Linked DNA regions of Arabidopsis thaliana. The protein of the gene in region 1 interacts with the protein of each later gene in a pairwise test. Each region holds a gene or a part of one and is shown on either strand. Other genes may lie near its edges. The genes, in order: AT4G35320 and GAMMA CA2.

Region 1 (15,940 bases):
ACAGCTCCACTCATAATTCCGTCTTCTATCTTTTATCAAGAAATCTGAAGAGAATTTCGCAAAAACAGAGTCACTGATCAACGACGATGAGTGAGTGAAACAAAATCCACCTGAAAATTCGAAAATCAGACACAATCACTTGGTGAGCTAAAAGATAAAACAGAGAGAGATAACACCAAAAAGCATGACCTAAGACTATAACAAACCCTTTAGTGACGTAAAAGACACATACCCAAAGGAGTTCTAGAAAAAAAAAACAGAGGTGAAACCTCAGATGTCAAAATCAAAACTTTGAATAAAATTTGACTACTTTTTATCTCTACCAAGTAGAAGAGAAAGTAAGAAAGTACGAGAGAATATGATATACAGAGAGAGAGATGAAAACTAGGGTTAGCAACTTGGAATTGGAGGCAGAAGAAGCCACTATCAGTGAGCCGCTGCTTCAATGGCGTCACTAAGCAATCATAAAGCATTGTTTACCCTTTTGGTTTAAATCAAAAAAAAAGAAAACGAAAGCTAGATTTCGAAGTAACCGTGAGAATATAAAAATGAATACTTTTTTTTTTTGTGCGGAAGGACAGTGAACAGAGAGAGAAGCCTATGGGATTAGTGACACCTGCCGTTTTGCTCCTGTCCTCTCAAACCACGTATGTGTATTGTGTGTGTATGTCTCTCTTCTCTTTCTCGTGTTTGCGTACAGAATTTTTTCAGAGAATTAAGTACATCTTTAAATTTTGTTATCTTTTCGATTTGGGTCCACGAGTTTATTCACGGGCCTATACAATCAAATTAATATCTCGAAATGTTTCTGCTTTTTACCATCTTCGCTTTCATGAAGTAAAGGTAAAAACGGATATTAATTTGGGATTTTGTATGTAAAAAGATGAGTTTAATGTCGGCATAATTGGGGAAAAATATTTGGTGTTTTTTTGTAAATATGAAACAAATATAGGATTGGTTTTTGAAATCTTAGATTCATTGGGACTTATACGAGAAACTAGAGATAAATATCTGAGTTTTCTGAAAACAAAGTTATTGGTAAAGTAAAGTTTAGTTTGTTTACATCCGGAAAGCATCTTCAAATCATTTCAACTTTACATAATTAATCAAGAAAGAAAGAAACAATGCAATAATGGAGAATAATGTCCAAAGTCCAAATACAATGAGACACTTTAACTTTAGTTAATTGTGAGTCGTATTCGTATGTTACAATATAATGAATAGTTTTTTCTTCTTCACTTTACTATTCTTCTTACAGATTAAAAGGGAAGAAAAAGAATGTATAAAAAATCATATTGAGTTTTTTTTTTTTTTAGAACCGAGTACCAAATTCGATATACAGTCTCTAATTCTAAATGAATAACATTAACAAATTTTGATCAACGAAAAACAAACCATGTGACTACGACAACTACTGGTTTTCTGAAAATAAATATCTATCGTCCGTATATCAAAACTTGATATGTATAAAACAAAAGATATATTGTTAAACGTCGTTGTTAAAGTTCGTATATTTGACCGCAAAGATTACCATAAATGTATTTAGAACATAGGAAAAACATCTAATTGGTTAATAAATATTTATGACTCCATATTTCTTAGATATTTTCCGGAAATGAACGTAGTACAAGCGTTATGTTTGGAACTACAGTACACACCACAGAATATAAACACGCAATAGAATCTTTTTTCATAGACTTTGAAAGTTATGGCATGTGAATGCGAATATATAAAGATTCTTGTCCACATCCTCAATTAATCATCATCATTGCTTCTTAAAAATTCCGTAGAATGAGGAGAAACGTACCATTTATGTTTACTGGTAGTAGTGATTACTGATTTAAGATATTATTCTTGGGAAAGAAACATCTAGTAACAACATTTTGAAAAGAAAAAAATCAGAATGATTATTACGGAAAAATGAAAAATTCAATAACGTTATGTTTGTCACCAAACTAATGTTAAAACGAATTCAAACCAAGTTGGAGAGATGTTACAGGACAGTTTTGCTAAAAAAAATCAGCCAGCACATTGATACAAAACCCAAAATATAATTTTGCTTGTGTACGTGGAGGTGTCAAATTTGATTCAGTCTTGTGAAAATGTCAATTTGATAGCGTTTATAATTAAAATTTTCGGTTCTTTTTTTTATCTGGAATTGAAATGTGTAATATGTTATCATTTTAGGCCTTATTGTAAGGTCTAAAGTCTAAAACAATACAATAATACGGCCTTTGGGGTGTCTGAATTTTGTATTTGAACATTGGGCTGGATCAGTGAATAAACAAGGCCCAAAAGTAAAACTTATTAGGGATTATGTGCGGGGCTCCAGAAAGTTGCAATATATGGAAAAGTCAATCTCTTACGTCATAATAGTCAGTGACGCCATAATACTGTTTAAATATTTGGCATATCTTTATCTTAAGAAAAAATCTCAAGAGATTACTATTCTTTCTGATAGGAGATTGAATGAACGGTTGCTTCTTTTACAAGTAGATCACATGTATTTAAATTAGTCTTCTCATACGACGAGAATAAAACCATCGTGCTTAATACTTAAATTTTTTTACAATTAACGGTAACTAGTAAAACCAGAAATGCATTTTGATTTTGTACAAACCAACATTCTAATTTTAGTTTTTTTTTTCAATTACAATTTAAACGATAAACAAAAGAGAAACTGGTTTAAATTTAATAATGCAAAAGCAGAAGAAAGAAGGTGAGAGGAAACAGCGGAGAGAGACAGAGTCAGAGAGGTGTAGAAGTAGTAGCTGGTGAGCACTAATAAAAGACCTTTCTTCGCTCAATCGCCGCCGTAAAATAAAACACCATCACATTCTCATCCAACGAATCTAATCTATCCGACCAAACCAAAGCTCTTAAAAAATCTATTTTTATTCTTACTTCAATCTCTGAAATAAATAAACATAAAATATTGTAGCTTTCCTTTGTTGTTCGACTTTTCTCTTTTGTCTCCCCTAAATTTAGTTTCTCCTTTTAAGTCAGATTCCTTCCTAATCCCATTCTTTCAGTCTTCTCTTTCGCCCTTCTGAGTTCAACAACTGGTAACTAGATCCTCTTTTTGCTTTACTTCATTCTCTGTTTTGTTATTCCTTTAAAAGATCCATCGAAACTTCTTAGCTCTTTGTCTTTTTTTTGGTTATTTTGACTCTTTGATCTGATGTGGGTTTTGCGTCTTTCTTTACTTGTGGTATTGTTAAAGTTCGTTACTTTGTTCTCGTTTAGCTTCTTGTATTTGGTCTAATTTAAGTCTTTTGACTTTTGACAGTGTTATCTCTATGAACAGTTCCTTTGATGAAGAACACAAAGTGAAAGTTGCTGTCTTTATAACCAGGATTTGGTAATTCCCATTGTTTCATGGGCAATTCTTGCCGTGGATCTTTCAAGGACAAACTCGACGAAGGCGATAACAATAAGCCTGAAGATTACTCTAAAACCTCTACCACCAACTTGTCTTCTAATTCCGACCATTCACCGAACGCTGCAGACATCATTGCTCAAGAATTCTCCAAAGACAACAACAGCAACAACAACAGCAAAGATCCAGCTCTTGTTATTCCTTTAAGAGAACCAATCATGAGGCGTAACCCAGACAATCAAGCTTACTATGTTCTTGGTCATAAGACACCAAACATTCGTGATATCTATACCCTTAGCCGCAAGCTAGGTCAAGGTCAATTTGGAACGACTTATCTATGTACAGAGATTGCCTCAGGCGTTGACTACGCTTGTAAGTCAATATCCAAGAGGAAGTTGATCTCTAAAGAAGATGTTGAGGATGTTAGAAGGGAGATTCAGATAATGCATCATTTAGCTGGTCACGGTAGTATCGTGACGATTAAAGGAGCTTATGAGGACTCTTTGTATGTTCACATTGTTATGGAGCTTTGTGCTGGAGGTGAATTGTTTGATAGGATTATTCAGAGAGGACATTATAGTGAGAGGAAAGCTGCTGAGCTGACTAAGATCATTGTCGGTGTTGTTGAAGCGTGTCATTCGCTTGGTGTGATGCATAGAGACTTGAAGCCTGAGAATTTCTTATTGGTTAATAAGGATGATGATTTCTCTCTCAAGGCTATTGATTTTGGGCTATCTGTCTTTTTCAAACCAGGTAAAGTGTTTGAAGCTTTTAGTTAATGTTTTGCTTAACTAGGCTGGTAAAAGAATCTTATGAAACAGAATGTGACTTTCAGGTCAAATATTCACTGATGTTGTTGGAAGTCCATATTATGTTGCTCCTGAGGTTTTGCTCAAACGTTATGGGCCTGAAGCTGATGTGTGGACTGCTGGTGTTATATTGTATATATTGCTAAGCGGAGTCCCACCTTTCTGGGCAGGTATTTGTCATTTTCCATGTTAGCCTGTTTCTTAGTCATGTAGAAAGTCTAAGTCACCTGAAATGTGTTTTGTATTGTCGTTTTTGGAATCAGAAACACAGCAAGGGATATTTGATGCTGTGTTGAAAGGATATATCGACTTTGAGTCAGACCCGTGGCCTGTGATATCCGACAGTGCTAAAGACTTGATCCGCAGAATGTTATCCTCCAAGCCTGCAGAACGTTTGACCGCTCATGAAGTCTTGCGTACGTATTCACATAAATGATTACTTATAGTGACAACCAAACAGCATTAGACTAATATCCTTTTTTCAGGTCATCCATGGATCTGTGAGAATGGTGTTGCACCAGATAGAGCACTAGATCCAGCTGTTCTTTCTCGTCTCAAGCAATTCTCTGCAATGAATAAACTAAAGAAGATGGCTTTGAAGGTGAGTGATTTTGTGCGTAAACCCTTTATCTTCTTTGGTCTCTGCATCACTTCTCATGAAACTGTTTGTTTTACTCTTTGTTTTGGGCTCATCAGGTTATAGCTGAGAGTCTCTCGGAAGAAGAGATAGCTGGTTTAAGAGAAATGTTTCAAGCAATGGATACTGATAACAGCGGGGCAATCACATTTGATGAACTCAAAGCTGGGCTGAGAAAATATGGATCTACCTTGAAAGACACAGAGATCCATGATCTTATGGATGCGGTAAAAATCTAACCTTATTTGGTTAAGTACATTGACAATGAAGTATTGTTATGTATTCTTACACTCAGCTCTTTTATTGACCAGGCTGATGTAGACAACAGTGGGACAATAGATTACAGTGAGTTCATTGCAGCGACGATCCATCTCAACAAACTAGAGCGGGAAGAGCATCTTGTTGCAGCGTTTCAATATTTTGACAAAGATGGAAGCGGTTTCATAACAATTGATGAGCTACAACAAGCGTGTGTTGAACATGGCATGGCTGATGTTTTCCTTGAAGACATCATCAAAGAAGTTGATCAAAACAATGTAAGCTTATATGATGATCTGTTCCACATTCCTCGCTAGGCTAATGTCGAGGCATCAGCTGATAAAAAGTCTTATCGGTTCTTATGTTGGTCTGAACAGGATGGAAAGATTGATTATGGTGAGTTTGTGGAGATGATGCAAAAGGGAAATGCTGGTGTTGGAAGAAGGACGATGAGAAATAGTCTAAACATTAGCATGAGAGACGCGTAGAGGTTGTTTTCCCCGGTGTTTAATATGTTAGTGCGATCGTGACTGCGAAAATGTTCTTATTCATGGAATCAACAACCTCAATGCTCACCACCTAGAAGGCGATGAAAGAAGACCAAACCGGATTCATACCTGTGGATGGTTCGAGTTTTGTTTAACGACTGTGTGATTAATCGTCAAGTAGTTTTGGAGGTTTTTTCTTTACCTCTTTGTTGTTTGTTCATTATGGCCATTGTTGAAGTTAGTGAGCTTTGTTCATCATCTGCCATTGTTAAACTTTGTTCACTTGTATTTGAAAAAAACAAAAATGTCTTTGTATGTTGTGTGATTTCTAAGCATTTTTACTTTGAAAATCTATTTCTTCTTTTCTAGACGATCACGACCCTTCATCCATATCGGACTACACAACTCGATATTGAATAAATTTATATGAGAATAGTACCAATGGCCTATGATGTGGAAGATGATGAGCTAGCAAGTCTCAATCATGTAAATGAAAGTGCTTTTTCTAAGTAATCTGTATTTAAACTCAAATAAAACCAAAACTCAAAGCTGTTCCAAGCAAATTATTCATTGGCCACAATCTGTAATTTGGAACATTATGCACCAAAACCATTTTTAATGTATTTTACATATACAGGTTTTTTGGTACTTCTCCTATACACATGGCATATTCATATTAACAAAAAATATTTATTTTGGTGTCACTTTTCATATTTTATTAGTGTAAAATAACCTCTTCTTAAGAGTAACGTATGGCAATTTGGTCAGCTTTGTTATTTAAAAATTATATGTTAATTAGCTAAAATACGATCATTTGTACCCAAATTCTCTTAATTTAAAACTAGTCCGACTTGAAAGTAAAAGTTTAGTTTAAACTATAATCAGAACAATAAATATCAATACGCCACCGACGATTTGCTGCCACCGACAAATGTTTTGTCGGCCACACGCGTCTCAGTTTTATGGAACCGAACTCTCGTTAATACTTTGCTTTTTTACATACCATTTTTGTTGAAAACCCCACAAAATGGGAAAATAATTCGGTGAAATATTTTAGATTTTTAGTTCTACTTGTATCATGAAATTAAGAGTTCTTCGACATAGATTGTTGTTATCATCAATTATCATTATGATCATTGTGTATATGAAACTATACAACGAAATTCAGAATCATAATTAGATAGAAGAATCTCATGTTGTTTTTCACATTAAAACCAAAAAAAAAAAAGAATCTCATGTTGGCGCGTAAAAGATTAAAACGAAAATAACGGATTTTTCTATATAATTTGCATGGTTATTAAAATACAAAAATACAACTGCACAGCCACAAACTCGTAACCACAAATAAAATAAATAAATTGATTAATAATAATCTAGGCAAATTAATTATAGCAAAATACAACATCAAGTTTAAAAAAAAAAAGACGAATTATACATTCATTATACTCCATTGCACAAAAGTAAAAAAAGAACAGACAAATCACAAAATCTCAACCTTATATGAATCATTTTATCGTTGACGCTTGTATTTGCAAGAAAGAGGAAGAGAATCTTCTGAAGAAGGTCCCATGAAATTACGGATCTGAGATCGGAGTTTGAAGAAAACGTGCATTATACTTCCTCTGTTTTGTGAACCAATCGATTTAGCTTCGTCTTTGTTAAGCTCAAGATCTCTGATGAATATAGGTTTTCTTGAAAGGATCCATGACCAACCCCATTCCCACCATTCTTTCACAGAGCTTCCTGCTTGTTCTCCCATGGCGGAAACAGATTTGGATCTCGGGAATCTAGCTGCGATCGCTGCTGGTTGGTTTGAGAGGTTGAGTGATAGAGAAGAGAGACGACGGCGGATGAGACCAGGCTCATCGTCGGCGGTGGCTGCTGCATTAGGGCGTTGAGAAACGGGGAGGGAAGTGGGTTTACGAATCTGGAGAGTCTCCATCATTGAGCTCATAACTTCTTTGTTCTTCTTTGTGTTGAGAGAGATTGAAGAAGAAGATGAATGTGAATGTGAGAGATTGATTAGTGAACACAGCTCTAACACAGGCTGGGGTTTTATTCCACTTTATTTTTGTGGGGTCCATTTACTTTTATGCCCCCAGCCAATTACATTCATTTTGTTGTTGCTGTTTGTTTTTGTATTAAATAATTTGTATTGTTATGTTTATTTGTTGATTTGTATAGTTAGTTGTTTTGTGTATGAATGAATGCACCTATAATATTGGAAATATAACAATTTTATTTTTAGTGAATATAGATAAACATTGTTTTCAGGTAGGGTTCCATCACAAGTCACAATACAAATTTAATTAAAAAAATTCTTTGTAATTTTATTTTAAAGGTTATTTTCCCAGTACAGAAATCTGTTGAAATTGCATTGGCTTTGATTTTTTTATAATAAAAATCAGAAAAATGTAGCAGAATCTGTCCAATGTCCATAGCCAAGCAAATTTATGTTGACAGAAAAAAGAACAATCACATACAAAAATCCAAAAAAGAAAAAAGATATCCCAGACGGGCCTAATCAGGTATTAGACTAAGGCCCAATAAATTTCAAGCCCAAAATCGAAATTAAGCACTTTATTCTTTCTTTTTTTAATAGCTATCGAGTGTGTATGTTCGGAGAAGAGATCACAGAGATCTGAGAGCTTGAAACAATGGAGTACCGGAAAATCAAAGATGAGGTTCGTTACTTCCATTTCACTTTGTCTTTCTGCTGCTTTTAATTTAAGATTTGGACTCTCTTTAATGCTCAATTTTGTTCCGAGCTTCTTCAGGACGATCATGACGTTGCTTCTGATATCGAGAGTGTGAAAGGAAAATCTCATACCGGTGAGATATTCTTTTCTCAAATTCCACTTCTCGTGTTCTTTAATGTGCTCATTGGTGCTTTGATTTGACAGTTGCTTCGAGTAACATTGCAATGGCTACTCTGGGTGTTGGATCCAGTGAACGGATCAACTGGAAACGAAAGTAAGTTTTTTTCCTTTGTTCATTTTTTTTTTGGAAAATTCAAGTTCTTTAAATAGCTTGTGTTGAATTAGGGGTGTAGTAACATGTGCACTGACGATTCTGACGAGTTCTCAAGCGATACTTATCGTGTGGTCGAAACGAGCTGGGAAGTATGAGTATAGTGTTACAACCGCCAACTTTTTGGTGAGTTTCATAGATGCATTAAATTGAGTGTACTGTATGTGTTGCAAGCGAGGCCAGTTTTGTGTGGTTTTTAATCTCTGAATCATGATGATATAGTGATTTTGTTTACTCTTTGGTGGACATCAGGTTGAACTCTGAAATGTGCGTTATCTCTTCTTGCTTTGACAAGGATATGGAAAAATGAAGGTGTTACTGACGACAACAGGTAGCGAATTATTTTGTTACTCAATCTGTTGTTATCAGTTTTAGAGAAATTTCCATGAGTTTTATATCTAATTCCTCTTTGAACATGACCGTAGATAGCTCACTGAATTTTTCGTTACTGATACCCAAATCCTGTCTCTATAACAGGTTAAGCACAACATTTGATGAAGTTAAAGTCTTTCCAATTCCCGCAGCATTGTATCTTTTTAAGAATTTGTTACAGGTGGGGTGTCCTGAGTTTGTTATTTTTTTCTGTGGCTTTGGTCGATTTTTCTTAACTTATGTTTTTCATGTTAATATGTCTCTAACTACTTGTTGTGTCACCTTTTACGTGGCAGTATTATATTTTTGCATATGTAGACGCCCCAGGCTATCAGATATTGAAGAACTTGAACATCATAAGTACCGGTGTCTTGTACAGAATTATACTGAAGAGAAAGTAGGTTTTTTTAATCATCCAAATGGATTTAACAGCTTCCAATGAATAGTTGTTCTGGAAATCCATCAGTGAGCTGTTTCAGTTTCCTTCAATTCTTGCAAGTGTGAACTGCTTTGCTTACTATCTTCTCTAACAGATTGAGCGAGATTCAGTGGGCGGGTTTCATTCTATTGTGTTGCGGATGCACCACTGCTCAGTTGAATTCAAAGTAAAACTTTACCCTTGATTTTCATATGAATTCTATTAAATTGAGCTTTAACGATTCTTGCATATGATGCGTAACACACAAAAGCTCATATCCGGTTCCTGCTCTGTGAACTTTCAGGTCTCTGCTGATTTTTCCAATATATGTCTCATATTTGAAATTGCTTTTGCAGTTCTGATCGTGTTCTTCAGACATCTCTTCCTGGCTGGACTATGGCAATTGTAAGCTGTTAGCCCCCTTTGCAAGCTAATATCAACTAAGAGTTGTGAAGCAGCTTTCATGTCCACATCAATTAATATAATCACTCGTTGTTTCTAGGTCATGGCTCTTTTAAGTGGTTTCGCCGGAGTGTACACAGAGGTGGGATATTAGGACTGTATACTGTAAATACTCAAAGCTGATTTGGTTTCTTTTCTCTGTGTGTGTGTCAACACTAATACAGTATAATTGGTTCCTTCCATTGATAAATTAACTTATGATATATAAAGCTTATAAAGGTTTTGCTTTCCATTTTGGCAGGCCATTATTAAAAAGCGACCTTCAAGGAATATAAATGTACAGAACTTCTGGCTATATGTCTTTGGGATGGCTTTCAATGCTGTTGCTATAGTGATCCAAGATTTTGATGCCGTTGCAAATAAGTAAATCCAAAAACCATCCTCTTTCATACTTGCTATAAAATGCCAGAACATACTAGTACTACACCTCTATATCCTCGGTGTCCTATAGTTCCATTATATTATACTAACTGCGTATTATGCTGTTATGACTCTTCTGTTCTGGTATTGAATGGGATGGTTTTCCATTTTCAGGGGATTCTTCCATGGTTACTCCTTCATCACATTACTCATGATTCTTAACCATGCTCTCAGGTAAAAGCTGCTTAAGAGGCCAGACTTTTTTCTTAACTCTGATGTAAGTTAGTGAAGCTAACACCAAAACACTCTTTTATTGTTTGTTTTGAAGTGGCATTGCTGTGTCGATGGTGATGAAATATGCAGACAATATCGTGAAGGTAGTGTATTTGCAAAAAAATGCACATTCATTCCCCTGTCACTTTTTGACACAGGGTTTAACTTTATCAATCGGTATGTAGGTTTATTCGACATCAGTGGCGATGCTTCTCACCGCAGTTGTCTCTGTATTCCTCTTCAATTTTCATCTTTCCTTAGCCTTCTTCTTGGGTTCAACGTAAGTTAACCACATTTGCTTTTGCTAATACAATCATCTCAACTTTTGATATCAAAAGTAGCCACCAACATTTATGCACATAAGAGCCACTGACTGCGTAAAAGGTGTCTCATAAAATGCATTACTGTGTTTGCACTTTGCAGGGTCGTCTCTGTTTCAGTATATTTACATTCCGCAGGGAAGCTACGATAGTAAAGATCTTCACACTTACATCTACCAAGAAAACACCATTATTCTAGTACAGAGATAAAGCTTTTGAACGATTACGATTTTGTTTTTCGTGTAGGTATATTCACATTTGTGCTTCTGTATTGATTTTTTTTTCCGTCTCATGAAACCTTCTATTCTCATTTGTACGATACCAAAACTTATCAAGAATAGTTACAATTTCAGAAATTTTAAGCCTCTACGTAATTTTTTTTATAAAACACCCCTCCGGATATTTTAATAATCATTAACTGTCTGAACGTGAAGCTGTATGTTGAAAATTGCACGCTTAGAACAAAAGGCTTAACCAAAAATGATCCAACCGTGAAGACTCGGAGACCGGCGTACTTAGTTTTTAAATTAATCATTGTCTTTGCTTCAAAGCCAATCCTATGAGACTTTGTCTTGTCTCCAACTTGTATATAAGCTCTATTCCTCTACTCTGTTTCACACCATCTCTTCTTCTTCTTCCTCTTCTCTCAGTGAACAAATTTGGCTATGGCTTTTTCTGCACCATCACTTTCCAAATTCTCTCTTTTGGTTGCCATTTCAGCATCAGCTCTCCTCTGTTGTGCTTTTGCCCGTGATTTCTCCATTGTTGGATACACGCCGGAGCATTTGACAAACACTGACAAGCTTCTAGAGCTCTTCGAGTCATGGATGTCAGAACACAGCAAGGCTTACAAAAGCGTGGAGGAGAAGGTGCACAGGTTTGAGGTTTTCAGAGAGAATCTGATGCATATAGACCAGAGGAACAATGAGATCAACAGTTACTGGCTCGGTTTGAACGAGTTTGCGGATTTGACCCATGAAGAGTTCAAAGGAAGATATCTAGGACTTGCAAAGCCACAATTCTCTAGAAAGAGACAGCCCTCAGCTAACTTCAGGTACAGAGATATCACGGACTTGCCTAAATCCGTAGACTGGAGAAAGAAAGGCGCTGTGGCTCCTGTCAAGGACCAGGGTCAATGTGGTAACATTTCTCTCTTTCCATCTTGGTCCCAGGTATATAGAACAGAACTCAGAGATTCGAATAGCTATCCAACGATCTTATTTTGTTGCTGCAGGTAGCTGTTGGGCATTTTCAACAGTTGCAGCTGTCGAGGGGATCAACCAGATCACAACAGGGAATCTGAGTTCGCTTTCAGAGCAAGAACTCATAGACTGTGACACAACTTTCAACAGTGGCTGCAATGGAGGTCTCATGGACTACGCATTCCAGTACATAATTTCGACCGGTGGTCTCCACAAAGAAGATGATTACCCTTATCTCATGGAGGAAGGAATTTGTCAAGAGCAGAAAGTAACAAACACTAGACACAAACATAATCAAAACTTAACACTGGGAAACAGATTTTTTATAAACACTGATCAATCATGAACCTTACACAGGAGGATGTGGAACGTGTGACAATCAGCGGCTACGAAGATGTCCCTGAAAATGATGACGAAAGCCTGGTGAAGGCTTTAGCTCATCAGCCAGTCAGTGTGGCTATTGAGGCTTCAGGAAGAGACTTCCAGTTCTACAAAGGGGTATATAACAGATGATTATGATATCGAAATTGTGTTCTATGTATCCAATCTTTCATTCTCTCAAAAACCGATTTGGAGATTTTTGTTTGTTTACAGGGAGTGTTTAATGGTAAATGTGGAACAGACCTAGACCACGGTGTGGCAGCGGTTGGATATGGTTCATCAAAGGGATCTGACTATGTTATTGTCAAGAACTCATGGGGACCAAGATGGGGAGAGAAAGGGTTTATTAGGATGAAGAGAAACACTGGTAAACCAGAGGGACTCTGTGGAATCAACAAGATGGCCTCATATCCTACCAAGACCAAGTGATAGATATACCTTTGTTCCTGCATCCTACCTTTTTTTCTTTCTTTCAATGCATTTCTATTGCACATTATATTGTATTGATGAATGTGAGATTTTAAAATAACATGGTAAGAGTTCTCTTACCATTTTTCTGACTGCACATCCTCCAAATGCTCATCCAGCTTCAAGAAACCTAAAAAAACATGACCATAGAGCTACCTCTCTCAATAAGATCATGTTCTCTACAAATATGAAACTTTCAAATACCAGATAAGGTCCAATCAGAAAGATTGGTGCTTTTTGTGTGTGTTTGATAAAGAATGTCGAAAGAGTTTTCAATTCTTACATCTGAATGCAGAGATAGAGATTGGATCTCTAACTTACAAAGCCTAACAGTTTTTAATATAATAAACTGAATGGCTGGTTTAGTAAAAATGTGTGTGAAATATAATTAAATCTGAACTTCATTGTATTTGATGACACAGTCATAAAGCCGTCCTCCGAGAAACTGTGCTACTTCTGGATGCTTCACCTGCATAACAAAAGACCAGACTTGAGTAATAAGGAAGAATTAAGAAACATGTAACTCTTTTTCTATGTAACGCCATGGAATTATAAGTTTAATACCATTCCGATCTTGAGGGAATCACACTTGAACTGAGCATAAAGGTTTGTCTCTATTCCACGGCCCTGTACAGGACAGTCAAGGAGTCAGTTTGTTGATACCTAAGACTAGATAACACATAGTTCACCAACTTCACGCGATTAAAAGGTCTTACCATGCCTTCTAAGATGACCAAGTCTGCATCGCTTGAGAGGTACGCAACCTCCTGTGATACTCTTGCAAGATCAATAACCTGCAACGGGATAGAAAGGATAAGAAATTTTTTACAGGAATTAGTGATAACTTGAAGTTCAATCTTCTTGTGCGAGCTTTTGAATAACATACCGGTAAGTCATTCCCTGAATTTGCAATAAGAAGATTTGAGGTATCAACACCCATCAATTGTCCATTTTCATCATTCAGCTGGTAAATTAAGACTCAGTCAGGGTCGAGTTTCTTTAATCTGTAATGGACGAGAGTACCCAAATGACTCTATTCATCACCTTAGACAAGATCTCTGCAAGCTCGATATAAGTTACATCGTTGATAGACGGAAGCTCATTAGCAGCCAGTACAACCTTCAAAAGGGAAGGTGCAATGAGGAACAACTTAGAAATATACATAATAAACAACTTCTCACAATCAAAAAGCCAAACCAGAGAACAAAATGTCCATAGTTGTGCATAAAAAAAAAAAACTGAGGAAGCACCTGCATTCCTAGACGTAGCATTTCTCTAGCAAAGGGCAAGATACCCAAAATTATGTCTGCACCAGAATTATCGACAAATATCACAGCCTGGCATGAAAAAGAGAGAAATAAAACAAATCAGTGTGTCCTGCGATAAAACTCCTGAAGTCATGATAAAGCATAGTTAGGACAAAACAGAGAGAAGTTAAAGAAGTGACCTTCTTCCAAGGCTTCTTGAGCCATCTAGCTTGAAAGTTATCCAAGTCATCAATGACCCATGGTCGTGAAACCAAGTTCTGACAGCTAGCCAAAAAGGACATGCCGTCTTTTGAGAAAACCTCAGCAAGCTTCAATATGTGAATAAAGAAACATAAGATCCACTCATTAAGATACTCAACAAAACAGAGAAGAGTATCATGAAAAGAAAGATATGACATATACCTGTGCAGAACCCAGATCAAAGATGTTTCCAGCAAATATCCCTCTGACCAGATTCTCTATGCGCTTGCCTTCATCGTTAATAGCATCACTCAAACGGACAACTTCAGGAAATAGTGATATTGCCTTTGCATTCTCCTCATCCTAAATGAACTCTTTCGATCAGCAAAGAGTGCAAGAGAATATAATGCTTTTTGAGAAAATCCTTGTCAGGAAAACCACACCTTAACTTTCTTAAATATGTCCCTAAATCCCAATTCTCTTAGTATCAGCTCACGAATTCTGCAGAGAAGCTGCAAAAATAAATCCATGAACAACAAAGCTCTCTACAAGCATTTACTTTACAAGAGGAAACTATACTTACAATGCAATCCGGTGGACCACCATGGCTCTCCGGATCTTTCTTCAGGTCCTCAAGAATCTCCGCATACCTTGCGAGAAATCAAACCCAAAATTGATACTTTTGAGCGAATGAGCGCCTCTTTTAAGCAACTATGAACACACATGTGAGAACACAAAAAAAAAAGAAGATACCTTTTGGCAAACTTTTCAGCTCGAACAGGAGCATCTGGAACGGTTGTATCGCTCTCTGCACGTTCCCTGCAAAAAAAATCAAACAAAACAACTTTAGAACATTGAAAGTTTGAATTTTTAAATTGGTTGGATCAGAATTTCTATTGTTTCCTATAAACGTCAATAAACAATCAGAGTTTCTTCATGATGTCACAAAGCCCAAATTCATGAAAAGTCACAACAATCGTAAAACCAAAATAGAACAGATTGATCGAATTGACGGATAAAATCCAAAATCCGAGTAATTTCAAAGGTATATGAGCTTCCTAGATCACAAAAATCAAAGCTTGAACATAAAATGCAAAACAGAATCACGAGAGAGAGATGCAAACTTGAAAGAAGGGATGGAATTGGAGAAGAGATCGATCCAGGAGATCTCAGTGGGAGTAGCCTTTCTAGGATTATCAGAAGGGAATCGATAAGGAATGGTGCAAGCCCTGTAGTTCGATTCTATCGGAGTCGGTAACAGAGGCAACGCTACCATCTCGGAGTCGCTCTCCATTCTTCGTTCGTACGTGTGAGATATGAAAATGAAACACTGTAGAATAAAAAAGTGATTTTTCTTTAAAACAGAAAAATGGCAAGTTAAGAGGAAACCCTTATTTTAATTGCTTTCAAGCGTTTCTCGTTTATCCTCCTTGCCTCCTTGTGCCGCGCGTTCCCAAGCAGAGCAAGCTTCTTGGATTCTCCTCTTCGACGAGTCCTACGTTGTTGTGTGGTTTTCGTTTCTGATAGTAAGCTATCATAGTATATAGTTCATTTGTATAGTGCATTGTATATACAATAGTCTTGTATAGATGAATTGGAGTCTCTCTTTCTTAAAGTTGAAACCTTTTTGGATCG
Region 2 (16,431 bases), on another chromosome or scaffold:
GTAGTAAATCAAATCTGCAGCATCATATCAAGTTTCCCACAAAGCTACCCTTACCCTGAATACACTCATATATCACATTTTCGTCGACAGATTCAATCCTAGGCCTTTAAACAACAAGAGAAAGTAAGAACATTGAGATTAACCCACGAAACACTAACAATTATACATTTCTATGACGTTGAGAAGTTTGTAGAAACCATATGAGAAGATAAAACAAATGATGAACACACTTAAAGACCCAAGATCGGAATCAACATCAAAGCCAAAATCAAAGAAGAATTAAACATACAAATGGTCTCAGATCCGAACATAGAACGAAATCGAATCTAATTGGGCAAATCAAAAATCGCAGAATCGAAGCAAAACGAACAAACACAAAATCTAATCAGAGAGAAATGGGGAACGAAGCACTTACAAAGATTTCTGAGAGACGACGAGACGAGAGAAATGGTGAATCGCAGATTGAGAAACGAGAGAGAGAAGCTTCGAAATTACAAAACCCTTAGACCCAACAAAAAAAATAATAATATTAAACCCTATTATTATTAAAGCCCATTGGGCTTTGAGCCCAGTAAAGAATCCGATCATTGAAAATACTTTTCTAGTATTCTTTGGTTTTGGTTAGAATCATTCATCAATCATCACACTTAAAAGGTGACAGGATGAATTATCTACAAGATCATTAGAACTTTTTTTAGTCCCTAAAAGGTGATTAGTAAGATAATTATGGTTTTTAGTAGACTATCGAATCGACAATACTATTTGATATTCTAAATTAAAGTTTCATAAATATGTTCTGACTCTAAAAATGTTTTTAAGCGCTAAATGTTTTTATGCTAAGTGCTAACTTCTTATAGTCGTAATCGGCTTATGCTCATAATCACTTAGACTAGGGAATCTGTTAAAATAATTAGTCCTTTATTAACTGTATTTACATAGTTATTGATAGTATGTATTATTGAAGCTTTGCTTCTTCTAGGGTTCTAAACTAGTAATAGTCTCCTTTGATGAATTCATTCAAACGTTTGAGCTCTCCATTTTGATGGTCCACAATGGCTTTAACCACATCAACCATAGAGATCAGTCCCACTATCTTTCCGTCAATCACCGGTACATGCCTTATGTGATTCTCTACATCATTTAAAAAAAACACAATTTTCTTTTGTCAATTTCAAAACATAATTTACAATTTGGATTAGATATATATATATATATATATGTAAGTATATATAGTAAATTACCTGACATAAGCTGCATTGCTTTGATTATGTTTGTCCCAGATGAAACAGTAACCAACTTGCTCTGGCCAAAATCATTTCCAATTCTTTTACTTAAAATTACGAAAATTTACAAAATGAAAAATTAACTTGAGAGTTTTATCTTTTGTTTATTCTGACCTCGTCTGTCATAACTTCTCCAACTTTTGTAAGCTTTGATGATCTTCCTGCCCCAATGATCTTTTTCATATAGTCTGTTTCATTTTGTGATGATAATTAGTCACAAAATGAAGAACCCTTCTTAATAAATTGTGTGTTTTAACTGTTAACTACAACATTCAAGGTATTGGGTGATCATATTCATAACTCCTTTTTTTTGGTATTTTTCCGTAGAAAGAACATTATTAAAGAAAGCTTATATATACCTCTCTCTGTGACAATTCCTGCTATATATTGTTGGTCTCCAGGTTCTAACACGACCAACGATCCAATATTATGCTTTGCCATCTGTTTTTTGTTTTTAACACGACCAACGAGATTAGTGGTCTACGCATATATCTTATATATGCATGACAAATTGACATAATATACAAATATGTGTGCTTTACTTATTATACATAAAATAGAAATATATCTCGAAAACATTGGTCTGATTTACAATTTGACATATACATACGTGTATACATGACACATTGACATAAACTACATATAGGTATTATATTGCACCGAATGTGGAAATTAATCACGTCTTATTTTATTAGCTGGGACATAGAACAACGTGGAGTAGGCAACGAACCTAACATTAATAAGTAAATAAAATAGTTCTTGTATGAGTTTTTAGTTCGAGATTTATAGACTTATGGCAGCTTAAATGTCCAAAGGTAAAGAATTGTACCCCAAAAACATATTAAGCTAACTAATGCCATAAAATTGATACATTGTTTTAAAAATCTCGTTTTCATGGGTACTAATTGATGCGTGTGTAACGTGATGAGCAAACAATAAAAACGGAGAAAAAGAAAGAAGTTTGAACGAACATTTTTAACAGCGTCAGAAACAGTGTCATTCGTACGGCACGAGATCCACGTATCAATGTCAGTATCCTTCGTGGAGAGCACATCCGCCACCGTCAGATTCTCCAACCCTTTCTCCGGCGGCGGAGGCGAAGTTAAGCAACCAAAACCGGCCGATACCTTCCTCTGATGAATCTTTGGGACCTCATTAGCTCTTGCTAATAGTCCTCTCACAAAAGCTTTCATTATATAATCTTATTAGGTTCAAAATTGTACTTTTTGCAAAAATAAATGAAACAGAGATTGGGTTTTGTAATAAAGGAAAGGTGATGACTCTTTGCTTCCAATGAAAGACTAAAACATACCTTACCTTAACCAAACGTTAATTACTTTTAATTAAAAAATTAAGAAGAAATTAAAGTTTTTAGAATGAAAAAAAAGATCTGATTGTTTGATTGCTCCAAGAGGGAAAAGTATGTACATTAAACCACACAAACTGCAAATAGAAGAATATAATTTGATATGATATGTTTTGCTTCATTCGCAGACTGGCTTCGTGTCGAAGCTGCTTAAACAAATAGCAAAAGCTTGGAATGCAGAGATCGGGTAACGATAATCCATTGTGAAAATGTCTTTGCCTATCTTCCCAAACTGTAATATCACTCTATCTTGTTCCTCTTCTGGTATGTTCATGTTCTTCCCTGCTTCTGCAGCAGCTGCCACTAGCTGGAAGTTTTTCACCGAGGCGACTGTGACTCGACCTTTGAAGTTTAGACACCAGCACTGAAGCTGTTCGTGCCATCTCGGCGACTTGTTTTTCAGAATTAATGGTTCTTTTATAACGGATTCTCCTCCCAGGTTCCCTGAGCAGAAATCCATCAGCGGCTTCTTCTTCTTCTTTCCTTGGTTTGTGAACTCCGTTGGCGACTGGATTTTGCCGCCTTCTTGAATCGCTGAAATCGGGATACTGTGCATTATACATTGCATTCTTCTTGGACCTCTGGTTCTCAGAACATTCAGCTCATACAAGATTGAAGCTATGTTGTAACTACTAGATGACGACGATACCCATGGAGACACTTGCATCGATGGTGGGAGCTTTCGGTTAAACGGAGGAGGTTGGTTTTCGTAGACTGTGAACTTCGTTCCCAGGAAATTTGATCTGTCCACCACACACAACAAGACTTATAATAGATGGGCATGGTGATCATATAGAACAAAAAGAAGAAGACTTTACCTCAGTTTTCCTATGTAATTACTACTACTTCTCGAGAAGTCATTCCCCGATAACGATACAACAAACTCCGCACCCGTCGCTCTCCTGACTCTCTTTGCAGATAACAACAACTTACTCTTGTCACCGGAAAGAGCTATAAGAAGACGAATGTGATATATAAAACAGTCCAAACTCAATTCATAAGAGGTTCTTAAGGTGAACTAGTAAAACTAACCAGGGCTTAAACCAAGATAGAGACGGTATATCCCCGTAGCTCTTTCACGTTTAATAAAGCATTGAATTGGAGCATCTCTAGGTCCAGGCTAAGCCAAACAAAACCAATGTTTTAGACACAATGATAATCGATTATAAGACAAACTGGTCAAGAGTAACAAACCTGTCTTAAAGAAATCGGAAACGTGATCAAACCAGAGAGCTCAGGAACTTTAACAACTTCTTTAGTCATCTCCCTCCATGACTTACAAACCGAAGCACAAGCAACAACATCTCTCCTCCCCGGCCATAAACTCTGTTCAGACTCAATCCTTTGGATTATATCAAGAAGTAACTCTGGAGGCAAATCAACCCAAATACTCTGGTTTAAACCTTCATTAGTTGATAAAGAAGAAGACACAGATGATCCTTCTGGTGCAATGTGTGACCTCCCTCTTCTACCAATAGCTTTGTATTTGTTCTTCACTATGTTCTTCAATGACATTGCTACTCTGCTACAAACAAAACTATTATAATTTCTGTAATTGAGAGTTTGAGAGACCAAATCAAAAACCCTAATTTGTACCTGATTTTATCTGCTCCCCCAGAAATTTCCCAGCTCCGTTTTGGCTGATGATGAACAAAGTAAATCAACAGAAATGTCTCAGTATTCACCAAAGAGAAACTTTATTCATTGGAGAAAGCAAAATCATGAAAAGAGCATGGATCCGGCTTCTCCGGCAATATCGTGAAGAGTTCGAGAAAGTTTTAAATAAACAAAACATCGAGAAACGAGAAAGAGAGGAAGAGAGAATTATTGTTACCAACAAAAGCGACAAATCCATGGGGAAGCACAATTATATTTCTGCAGATGAGATAAGTTTTTGGATTCTTCTTCTTCCGATGAAGACGAAGAAGAAGAAGAAAAATTCAGCGAGGAATTTGAAATTAAAAGCCTTCTCTTCTCGAAAATGTTAAGTTAAATGAACCACCAACACCAACACCTCTCCGATGCCGTTACTGTCGCCGTCGTGAGCTTCGATTCCGAAGAGGAGAGGAAGGAGGAAGACGACAGTAACCGCAATGATTTCGAGGAGGAAGAAGAAAAAGAGAAGACAGATGGGTTTTTTTCTTTTAATTAGTAAAACGGAAAAAGACTAAGCGCGGCTCATGTTTTTCAATTGAAATTAGTAAATTACTCAAAATAGGATTTTTTTTTTGTAAAACTATTTATTAGCTGATAATTTTTGCTTTTTTGAGAGTTAATTACAACTGGATTTTTTTAAAATTTTATTAATTGGCACGAAATATGATATTTGAAGGTGTATTTTAAATTTTTAGTAAATTTACAAAGAAATTAATAATAAGAAATATTACGTATCAGGTTATTTTATTGTGTATGTTAAATTGAATTATATGTAACTAAGTAAATACAAGAATTTGATGTTGTTTTTTTTTTTGCCAAAAGGTGTTGTTATTTATATGAAATATTGTACAAACATCCATGATACAGAGATGATATTACACATTACAAAGACGTCTATATAAAAAGATTGAACATGAACTTTTAAAAGACTGAATCAAGGTTCATGTACAAAACAGAAGGATCAGGATGCTAGAAGATCAACTACCAAAGGAGAAGGTAGAAGCCCTGGCAGCAGTGTTGAAAGACAAACATCTTGACTTCTCAATAAGAACAGGAAACGAAAACTAAGTTTCGCATCTGAACTTATAGCTTCCATCTTATGCTTATGTCAAGAGAGCTTCTTACTTACCAACGTATCAACCAACCATAAGTAGTAGTAGAAGATTGAAACCGTCCTATAAACCCTTCAAGTTTATACCCATCAAACTGCAACACTTAAAACTAAAAAGGACAGTAACTCGAAACAATCCAAGATAGATTGTTCAGCCAAAAGCAGTAAACACTAAAAGGAGTTATGATTCCTAAGCAGCTATAGACATTCCAAAAAAACAAACCTTACCCCAAAAAGTTGAATTCACAGAGTATAAGGGTAGATTATACTCACATTTGTAGACACAATTTTTCGAGATCTTATCCTCACAATGAAAACAAAAAAACTCATAGCATACTCTAAGTATCATGCAAATATTTTATTAGTCGGTGGCATCAAACCACCTAAGGCTCAAAATATCCCCTCTAGTAACCAACTTTCGTTACAAATTTCAGGATTAAGGCTCCAACTCGGAAAGAGCATATTCGATGTTCTCTTCAGCTCGCGACACATATATCGATTCCACCTCACAAATCACTCAAACCGAGCTCATCTCATGATGCATAAGTTGGGTTTACTTCGCAATCACTTGAACTAAGTCCTTCTCACGGCGTATTTGTCAGGTCACCTCGCAACTACTTAATCCAAATTCATATCCAACAGCATTACAAGAATATTAGTCTTCAAGCAAATAACCTTACTCAAAGAACTCAAGCTTATGTTGATACCGGATCGCGCACGACAAATCCATCTTACGCATCCAAGTTCCATCACTTTACAGAGCAAAGAATGTACATCTTGCATAAGAAAGGTGGTTAAATCTTGATATTAATTTGTGATTAAATTTATGAATTAATGGTCATGGTTTAAGGAGTAAACTTGCCATTCAAGTTTACGAATTAATTATGAGAGTTATTTTATGAGCTAGATATGTACCTAATGGCCAAATAAAGATACATAGGAGGAAGGAAAAGACTATAAAGAGAGGTGGAGACCCTAAGAAAAGAGACTCCATCTTTTTTTTTGTAAAATGGTTTTCAATGTTATAAATAAGGTCCAATGGACTATTTCCGGATTTAGGCTCATACATTTTCCCTTAGACTCAATCCACTTACATATAACCAGACTAAACCATCTATTACAAAACCGATCTAAACCGAAAGTTGAAAATCCTAATCTCATATCGTAAAACACGATCTGAGCCGCCGTCCAAGAATTGCAGAATCTCACCGGAACAGAAACCCTTTGGGGAGCCTAGACGAGATTCGTCGAACGGAGATGGTAATTCAGGATCCGTTGTCCTCCTGCCACCGTAGAGCAGTTTTGAGGAGGAAGAGGCGATCCGGGTTGCCATAGTCATGAATCTCATAGCTCAGTCGAGAGAGTTGACGGCAGTAGTGAGTAGATCTCAAGACCATCGACGGTGGTAAAGCCTCACCGAAGCGGAGTCGACCTCCCCCATCAAGCGGCGACCCAATGAAACCTCCAGAATCTTTAGACTTCCGACCTAACCGCCGTCAGCCCTTGTTCTTCACTGTGAAGTCTCATCCTTCCTCTCCGTGAAGCCACACCACCGATATAGCTCTTACCGACAGTGTCTCGCATAATCTTCTCCCCTCCACCAGGGCCAACTCAATATATTCTCTGTCACTGTACAAATTTTCAAATTTAGCCCTTTTATACTAAATATTTTGAGTTTGGCCCTTACATTTAGTTAAAATTTTATTATGGCCCTCAGATTTAGTCAAAATTATCTTTTTGACCTCAAATTTGATAAATTTTTTTATTTTACCCTTTAATTTTGATCAAATAATTTTTGGATCCTGTGCAATTGCTCCTCTTGCACTCCCCTAATGCCGCATTTGCCCTCCACTGCTCCCTTGATTTTGAATAGATTGAATTGCCGAGAAGATGTAGCGGATCACGGTTGAAGCACCATGTCCCAATGGGTTTCTTCGTCGCTGGAGTCAACGAAAAAACTTATTGACGGAACAAGAGATTGTGATTATAAGAAGAAAAAAATTTGAGAGAGAAATCGCCCACGCGTAAATATCACTTGCCCGACTTCTTTCTAGTATAACTCCAAGAAAAACACCCAAGAAACTCCATCTTCTACATTCTTGACCCCATTTTAGATACAAACAATGTTTTTTCCAATCCTTATACTAAAAACTATTTCTTTGCTTTATGCAATACTTCCAATATCCAATGCACAATATAAGCTAATATCTCTATTTTTATCTCTTTATTTTCTTTGCTAAATTATATTAATTATTTTACTCATTTTTGTGTTTGTCTCCTGAAAGCTTTGTTCCATCTCCTTACATTGCAAAACGAATCTATCCGGATTTTGTATTCACAATCTCTGTAAGTCCAACCAATAAATTTCGGTTTGGTTTAGCTTACCAGTTACCACTCCATACTCTAAAAATTTAGAGGTCAACAAAATAAACGAACTCACTCGAGTTAAAAAAAAAAATCCTCCCATCAATACGCCTCCATAAACCTCTCTCTATCTGGTGGAGCGACACCAAAAACAACAAAGCCTTCTCATTTTCACACTTTGGGTAATCGGAGAATCACAAAAAAATGGGAACCCTAGGACGAGCAATTTACACTGTGGGTAACTGGATTCGTGGAACTGGTCAAGCTCTTGATCGCGTTGGTTCTCTTCTTCAAGGAAGTCACCGTATCGAGGAACATCGTAAGCTTCCAGATCCTTCCACTTAATACTCTCTATTGAAACCCTAGATCCAATTCGTTATCTCTAATTTGTGTCTTCACCTTTGATTGGAGAAATTTGTGGCTTAGATTGAAAAAATTTGATTCGAGAAATTTGTGTTTGTTTTCAGTGTCGAGGCATCGGACGTTGATGAATGTGTTTGATAAATCACCATTGGTGGATAAAGATGTGTTTGTGGCTCCGAGTGCTTCTGTTATTGGTGATGTTCAGATCGGAAAAGGCTCGTCGATTTGGTATGGCTGTGTTCTTCGAGGTGAGGCTTTATTACTTCTAGAAAGTCTTAATGGCCTTTGGTTCGATAGAAGTACCAAATTTTGCAGCAGTATATTGTGCAAAGTAGTCATAGTTTAGTTTTAGGAAATGAAGTTCTCTTTACCTTCTAATAATCTTGTATCGCTGTTATACGTTACTGTCCTGATCATTGGACATAGATTTATTGTACTGTCGATAAAATGTGTCATGAAGTAGCTGTGAAACTTATTGTATGTTAATCTGGGTTTCTAACTTGTGCAGGTGATGTGAATAACATCAGTGTTGGATCTGGGACGAATATCCAAGATAATACGCTTGTACATGTTGCAAAGACCAACATAAGTGGCAAGGTTCTACCTACTCTGATTGGGGACAATGTAACAGTAGGTAAACCTTAAAAAGCGATTTATCAGTTTTGAAGTATCTGTTTTTATGTTGTGTTACACGATTGTTAGTTAAAGGTTTTGTTTGTAAAATGAAACGGAGCAGGTCACAGTGCTGTCATTCATGGGTGTACTGTTGAGGATGATGCTTTTGTTGGTATGGGAGCAACACTACTTGATGGTGTGGTGGTTGAGAAACATGCCATGGTTGCTGCTGGTTCTCTTGTGAAACAGAACACGCGAATCCCTTCTGGAGAGGTTTCTTTCTTTCCACTTTATCTTTTCTGGTTTACTGCTTACGGAGTTTGTGATAAGACTGGAACTGGAAACTGCTTTATTTCTCACTAAACTGAACGAGAAAATCCAAAGTATCAAGAACCAAAAATAGAACTCTAGCTAGGTTTACTTATCACGGACCCTGAAGCTCTACCAAGCCTAATAACGAACTGCTAATTAACCAAGTAATAGCAGCTGTAGTCTGCTGCATTTAGTCCTACGCTGACCTGTAGCTAAGGCTTGACCAGCTGAACTTCTTCAAGTAGATCCACTTTTGCTTTGCTTACAATTTAGTTGATACAGAATTAGTTAATGAAATGATATGCCTGTAAATTGTATTATATTTTGATCAAAAAGAAGAGTAAATAGTATTTATATATCGTCTAAATCTGAGAACCACCTTTGTTTCCGTTGCAATTCTACTTGTATATGAAACAAGGGTGAGTTGGGAGTAACAGAGGGTTCTTGTGTTTCCAATGTTTTATGAGGAATTAGACGGATTTCTTATATCGCTATGCTTTTGAACTACTTTCTTCAACCGTCAACCTGAGAATATATTTACAAGGACATATCTATAAGTTATCAGTTTCATGTGGCAGGTGTGGGGAGGAAATCCAGCAAAGTTCATGAGAAAGTTAACAGATGAAGAGATAGTATACATCTCACAGTCAGCAAAGAATTACATCAATCTCGCACAGATTCACGCCTCAGAGAATTCAAAGTCATTTGAGCAGATCGAGGTTGAGAGAGCGCTTAGGAAGAAGTATGCACGCAAGGACGAGGATTACGATTCAATGCTTGGGATTACCCGTGAAACTCCACCGGAGTTGATTCTTCCCGACAATGTCTTACCAGGTGGTAAACCCGTCGCCAAGGTTCCGTCTACTCAGTACTTCTAATTCCAATCTCAGGTTGTTTTTGTGTGTTGAAATCATTTCAAGACAGGATTGATTCTCTGGAAGGTCAAGAGAGATATTATTTTGGTTTTAACTTTTCTTCCGAGCAAGCAGGAGATTTATCATCCTTGCTCAATAATGTATGGTTGCATTATGAAGTCATTTCTTCGAGGAACAATTTGCAGAAAGAGAAACAAAGTTGGATTAATCTTTCATTCTTTCTCTCGCTGTTTCTCTCATTCAAAATGGTGTCTGTTTGATACACTCTCTAGGTTGGCGATTCGCCGATTATTATTATCATGTGACAGATTTGACTTAAGTAGGACTAAACATAAGCTAGTGGCACTCAATAACTCCTTGTTCCAAGCTGTTAAATAAACAAAGCCGAATAAAAACCACAATTGTACTTGGAAGTTGGAACATATCAAAGAGCTACACACAAGAAAATTGGTTAGAAAATCCAACTTTGAACTCATTCCCTCTTGCTCAAATTTCCATTGGTGCAACATCTTGATCACCTGAACCACCTTGTTCACCAGTTCCAGCAGCACCAGGAGCAGCTTCGGGTTCGGCCTCACCCTCACCAGCATCTTCCTCTTCCTCAGGAACCTTCTCAAACGTATCAATCACCTTTTGAATGCTTTCCTGGTCCAAGAAATGGAATGGTTCATCGACTCCTAGAACAGAAACAGTGCAGAGCGAGCTCTTCAGTGTTTCCCCTTGCAAAGTTTCCCTTATGGCCATAATAGCATCTTTTATCAGATCTTCTTTTGATGATTCTTGGAAGCTCTCGAATTTGCGCTCCAGATAGGTTTTCGCAGCTTGTGAACGAGACCCGATAGCGAATGCTTGATATTCAAAGTAGTTTCCGCTAGGGCAGTTGTAGTAGAGGTGAGCTCCTGACTCGTCCAATCCACCTACCAGCAAACCCACACCATAAGGCCGTTTCCATGATCGTTGGGTACATACCTGCTCAAAGATAATTTATGAAGATGTTTAATACAAGACAAACAAATGACTTAACATTTGAATGAAATCAGAGTGTTGTTCAAACTACAAGACTGATATCAATACGTTCTCAGAAATCAATTGAAAATGTAGATACAGCAGCTAACTTAATTTTTGACAGACATGAAAGTAAGTGGGACGTAGCAATCAAACCTTTTAAAAATTGTGAACACATCATCTAACTTGAGAACACTACGTTTAACACCAAAAGTAGTGAACATGTAGCACAAATTTCTATCACAACTGTAAACCAACATCTTACTGAAAATATACTTCATTAGGCAAGTAAATAAAGTGGCCAGGACATACTACAACTACAAGTAAGTAAACAAATGCAAAGTAATACAAGTCAAAACCACAAAACCAAAAAGAGATCAACAAAGACGTATATTTATTCTAGAATTGCAAGCAAAAACAACTCTATCAAGCAAAGAGAACAGACGATGACAACACAGAAACAACCAAACGACCAAAATCATCACATTCTTATACACTTCTATCGTCAAAGTGGGTATACAGGTTAACTCTTTCTAATCGGATTAAGCAACTAGCAACAGAACTGGATATGATTAACAACACAAGAATCTCTAATTCCCAATCACTAAGACTTGATCACAAACCAATATCACTACTTGCATAACAACACACACATTCTACAAATAAAATTGGCCACATTGCTAATAAAAACCTAAACTTTACTCCAATTACATAAAGCTTCAAACTTTCAGATACTCACACATCATAAAACTAAACCCTTTAGCAAATTCTAGGTCAAAATTCAAAAGTTAACCCAAAAATCTCAATTTACCTGAGCTTTATCAGCAAGATGAACAACAAGACGACCAACAGGAAGAGGAGACTCATAAGTAAAAGAGTGATTAATAGACTCAGATCTCATATATCGAGAGAGAACACGACCATCAGCAGTGAGACCAGCAATAGCAACACCAATATGATCATCGACTTTAAAGATCTTCCTTTGATGAGAAGAGAGCTCTGATTGTGCTTTGTTGACACAAGCGAGGACGACATGAGAGCGAGATCTGAGTCCTATTGCTGCGGAGCCTTGTTTCACAGCTTCCATGGCGTATTCGACTTGGAATAGTCGACCTGTGGGACTCCATGTTGTCACATCTGTGTCGTACTGGTTCCTGAACATCTTTCTTCTTCTTGTTCCTCTGTTCTTCAAAAGCTTTTCGTTTGCTTCAAGCTAGAGGAGGATGGTCTCTCTTATAGAGCTTAGAAGAAGAAAGTAAAGATTGTCAAAAAAAAGAGAAAGAAGACAGTAGAGTAAAATGGGCTTATGAAACTTAATGGGCTGGGTTTAATTATCCATTACTCTTTATTATTTTTTACACATTTAAAAGGATTATAATTTTATAAATAAATACTTAGCATTATATTATTTCTTTTTATAGTAATTAATTTAATTCATAATTTAACATTTGCAGTTTCAATTGGTTTTACATTATTTATTTACACATTTTTCACTACACTGATTATAAATTTACTATTCCCTCTGATCCTAAAACAATGATATTTTGGATTTTTCACAAATTAAAAAAAATAACTTTTATATTATTTTTATTGTTTTTTCTTACTGCAAACTATGTTTTAATCTATGAATGTAGATCATTACAGAGAAGGTTTTTGAACCAAATTGGCTCGTTCCTAAAGTCTGCTTTGAACACAGAAATCGTAAAAATTGGGGAAGCAAAATAGTCCGCTTAAAACACAAAAATCGTAAAATTAGGAAAACTAAATGGTGAGCTATACTATTACAAAGACGTTTTGTGAAAGTAAATACAATAGATGAAAATCTGAAGACCAATACTCTAAATCTAGAAGTAAATTAGCAATTTTACTTCTATTAGACTTGCCATTGATGGTTTTAATGAGGACTTCGCAATCTCTTTGGAATTGTACTTTCTTGTATTTTTGTATCCAAATTTGTTGCATCGCCACAAGTAACGCTTTCGTCTCAGCCTTTAGGAGAGTGTTGACATGATCTAAAATTGAAGATCCTCATGTGTTTGCTATCCCTTCATGGTCTCGTATAATCCATCCACCCGTACTTTAAGTACTATTCCTGTGTAAGTCCGCATCGAAATTGCACTTGACAAAAGAAACTGTCGGTTTTCTCCATGAAGTATTTTCCGATGATGGTGCTCTTGTTGTAGTAGTTTTTTCTTGCCTCCCTCTCGTGTTTATAATTCATTTATTATTTTTTTAATTAATTTAATAATATCAGTTCTACTTTTTTTCCTTTCTCTATTGATCACTAATGAAAATAATATTAATTTAAAACATCAACTTTTGTGAAACAAAAGTAAAATTTAAAACATCAAACTTCATGGACTAGAGGGAATTACAAGTTATTGTATTTTATTATTTCTAATTTTATGAAAATTAATAATTTAGCATGTGTAGTTTAAATTGGTTTGGAATAAAATTAATTTAGAAATCTAAACAAATAAAGTCACATGTTATTAGATTTTTAATTTGATATTTTGTTTTTGATAAAATCTTGTATTATTTGGTTGGAAACAAAGAGTATTAAAATTGTGTCAATTAGCTAACTAGCCAAATTCGACATACAAATTAGCAAAATAGTCATACGTCAGAAAACTTTAGTAAATAGTTTTTTCTTGGGGTGTAAAATAACCAAAATAACCTGGAAAAATAGACGGGAACTCGTGAGTTCCGACACTAGGTGTCTATATGTAGGGAACATAAACATGCGTAGGTAATGAGTAACCCGTTTTATTTATAAAACACACGCCATTTATATATGTTTTTGTTCCTGATGAGCCACATAACTTATAGATTTCAATTACCAATGAGAACATAAACATGCGTAGATAATGAGTAACCTGCTTTATTTATTAAACACACGATATATATAGATGTATTTGTTCATTTTTTTCTTAATTCTATAAACCACATACCTTTTAGATTTTACAGATGCATTTGATATTTAAACACTAACTTATATCACTAAATATGTCAAAAACGGACCATATATATATACAGATGTTTGCTTTGTATGCGACTAGTTATTCAATGGAGACTAACAGATAAAAAGGTCAATGGTAACTGTAACATAGAATGTTATTTAAAAACAACACATGTAATTCCTATATGCATACGCTGTATGAAAACAATGGGCGTGAGTTGGAAATTGTGTATTGGGCAATAAACTCGGCAAAGTATCAACTTATAGAGATCATACATTACATGCAATGTTTCGTTATATCAGTAATCATTAGTATGCAACTTGCTACATAATATGGTCGCCAAATCTTATTTGCGATTTGACAATGTAAATCTATCCGTAGGAAAATATTTGATACGTATCTATTGCATTAAATGCGGCGACAGTGTTATATACGAGTTCCAATGTTGCATTGGGGGAAGGGGTGAAACAAATTCCAAAAACAACGTGTTTCGTATAAATATAACATAGGATAACCACTAAGCATCCACCAGATAAACGACACGTCGCGCATGACGTCTGCGATAATGTTAAAACACATGAATTATTGTGGTTATGCATGTAATTCAAATACAATTCAGTTATATGTTTGATGCGACATTTACAGAAGCGACAGATTCCATCGATTAGCAGCCCTTCGAGAGTTTGGAGGGAAATCATAATTATTCAATATTATGTGGCTTAAAAGCTTGTAAGCACTGTTGCGGAAAATGTCTTAATATATTGTAGCCCTACTTCGTAGCAAAAGATTCCACATATAACAGGAGAGATGAGTAGCATTTAAAACACACGATAATGAGTAACCCGCTTTATTTATAAAACACACGCCATCTATATATGGCGTTGTTCTGGATGAGCCACATAACTTATAGATTTCAATTACTAATGAGAACGTAAACATGCGTAGGTAATGAGTAATCCGCTTTATTTATAAAACACACGATATATATATATATATATATATATATATATATATATATATGTATTTGTTCCTTCTTTTTTTTTTAATTCTATAAACCACATACTTTCAATTACAGATGCATTTGATATTTAAACCCTAACTTATATCACTAGATATGCCAAAAACGGACCATATATATAGAGATGTTTACTTTGTATGCGACTAGTTATTTAATGAAGACTAACAGATAAAAAGGTCATTGGTAACTGTAAAATAGAACGTTATTTAAAAACAACTCATGTAATTCCTATATGCAAACGCGGTATGAAAAGAATAGGCCTGAGTTGGAAATTGTGTATTGGGTTATAGCCTCGGCAAAGTATCAACTTGTAGAGATCATACATTACATGAAATGTTTGGTAATAGCAGTAATCATTAGTATGCAACTTGCTATATAATCTAGTCGGCACATTTTATTTGCGATTTGACAATGTAAAGAGTCCGTAGGAAAATATTTGATATGTATCCATTGCCTTAAATGCGGTGATAGTGTTATATACGGGTTCCAATGTTGCATTGGGGGAAGGGGTGGAACAAAGGCCAGAAACAACATGTTTCGTATAAATATAACAAAGGAGAATCACTAACCATCCACCAGATTGACGACACGTCGCGCATGACGTATGTGCTAGTGTTAAAAAACATGATTTATTGTTGTTATGCATGCAATTTTAATACAATTCAGTAATAAGTTTGATGACGACTGCTTCCGTCGATTAGCAGCCCTGCGAGAGCTTAGAGGAAAATCATAATTATTCAAAATTATGTGGCTTAAAAGCTTGTCAGCACTGTTGCCCAAAAATATTTTAGTATATTGTAGCCCTACTTGTTATCGAGACATTCCCAATATAATAAGAGAGATGAGTAGCATTTAACGATCACACCACTTCCTCTTTGAAAAAATTAAAAGGAACAAGTATACAACAAAGGAGAAAGACAAGTTACAGCAATACTAGGTATGCCATTAATGATAGATTTGTTTTACAGAGTACCATGTAAAATAGAACGTTATATAAGAACAACTCATGTAATTTCTGTATGTAAACGAAGTTATACTGACGAATTTGAAAACAATAGGCTTGAGTTAGAAATTTTGTATTGGGCTTGATGTTATTCATTCGGTTATAAGCTCGACAAAGTATCAATTTATAGGTATCATACATTACATGAAATGTTTGGTTATATCAGTAATCATCATTATGCAACTTGCTACATAATTGGATTGACACATTTTATTTGCGATTTGACAAAATGAACAGTCTGTTGGAAAATATTAGATACGTGTTTACTACATTAAATGCGGCGACAGTATTATATACTGGTTCCAATGTTGCATTTGGGTAAAGGGTGAAAGAAAGTGTAGAAACAACATGTTTCTTATAAGTATAACAAAGGAGGACAACATGATGCACTCCCCAGCGAGTCACCATTAACTTCTCCACTGAGAATATAGACAACATTGGTCTAGAAAAACACCAAGTGAAACAACAACGTTAAGAAAATGATATACTGGAAAAAGCAT

The links.
Region 2: the proteins of AT4G35320 (region 1) and GAMMA CA2 interact in a two-hybrid assay, tested with the Arabidopsis thaliana proteins (one study listed by BioGRID).

What each region holds. Positions count from the first base shown.
Region 1 is NC_003075.7:16,799,058-16,814,997, forward strand, and holds AT4G35320 (uncharacterized protein), read right to left. Parts: upstream 7,774-15,940; 5' UTR 7,526-7,773; coding exon 7,082-7,525; 3' UTR 6,812-7,081; downstream 1-6,811. Other genes in the region: TMT2 (tonoplast monosaccharide transporter2), read right to left, coding at 1-14; CPK5 (calmodulin-domain protein kinase 5), read left to right, coding at 3,379-4,132, 4,215-4,358, 4,452-4,604, 4,674-4,789, 4,885-5,052, 5,137-5,361, 5,461-5,571; XCP1 (xylem cysteine peptidase 1), read left to right, coding at 11,472-11,946, 12,041-12,276, 12,366-12,506, 12,603-12,818; AT4G35360 (pantothenate kinase), read right to left, coding at 13,246-13,326, 13,422-13,484, 13,574-13,651, 13,744-13,821, 13,902-13,976, 14,108-14,194, 14,305-14,433, 14,528-14,668 and 4 more.
Region 2 is NC_003070.9:17,314,901-17,331,331, reverse strand, and holds GAMMA CA2 (gamma carbonic anhydrase 2), read left to right. Parts: upstream 1-7,847; 5' UTR 7,848-7,984; coding exon 7,985-8,099; intron 8,100-8,247; coding exon 8,248-8,391; intron 8,392-8,651; coding exon 8,652-8,777; intron 8,778-8,879; coding exon 8,880-9,031; intron 9,032-9,648; coding exon 9,649-9,948; 3' UTR 9,949-10,431; coding exon of another isoform or gene 10,432-10,914; 3' UTR 10,915-11,761; downstream 11,762-16,431. Other genes in the region: AT1G47278 (uncharacterized protein), read right to left, coding at 55-69; AT1G47271 (Cystathionine beta-synthase (CBS) family protein), read right to left, coding at 989-1,131, 1,242-1,302, 1,398-1,471, 1,643-1,724, 2,255-2,476; TLP6 (tubby like protein 6), read right to left, coding at 2,768-3,392, 3,468-3,600, 3,682-3,769, 3,844-4,174, 4,246-4,289, 4,484-4,504; AT1G47265 (uncharacterized protein), read right to left, coding at 6,534-6,764; PAF2 (20S proteasome alpha subunit F2), read right to left, coding at 10,432-10,914, 11,762-12,112. UniProt on the Arabidopsis thaliana protein: Enzyme involved in the catabolism of H(2)CO(3) but that does not mediates the reversible hydration of carbon dioxide. Mediates complex I assembly in mitochondria and respiration. Binds HCO(3)-.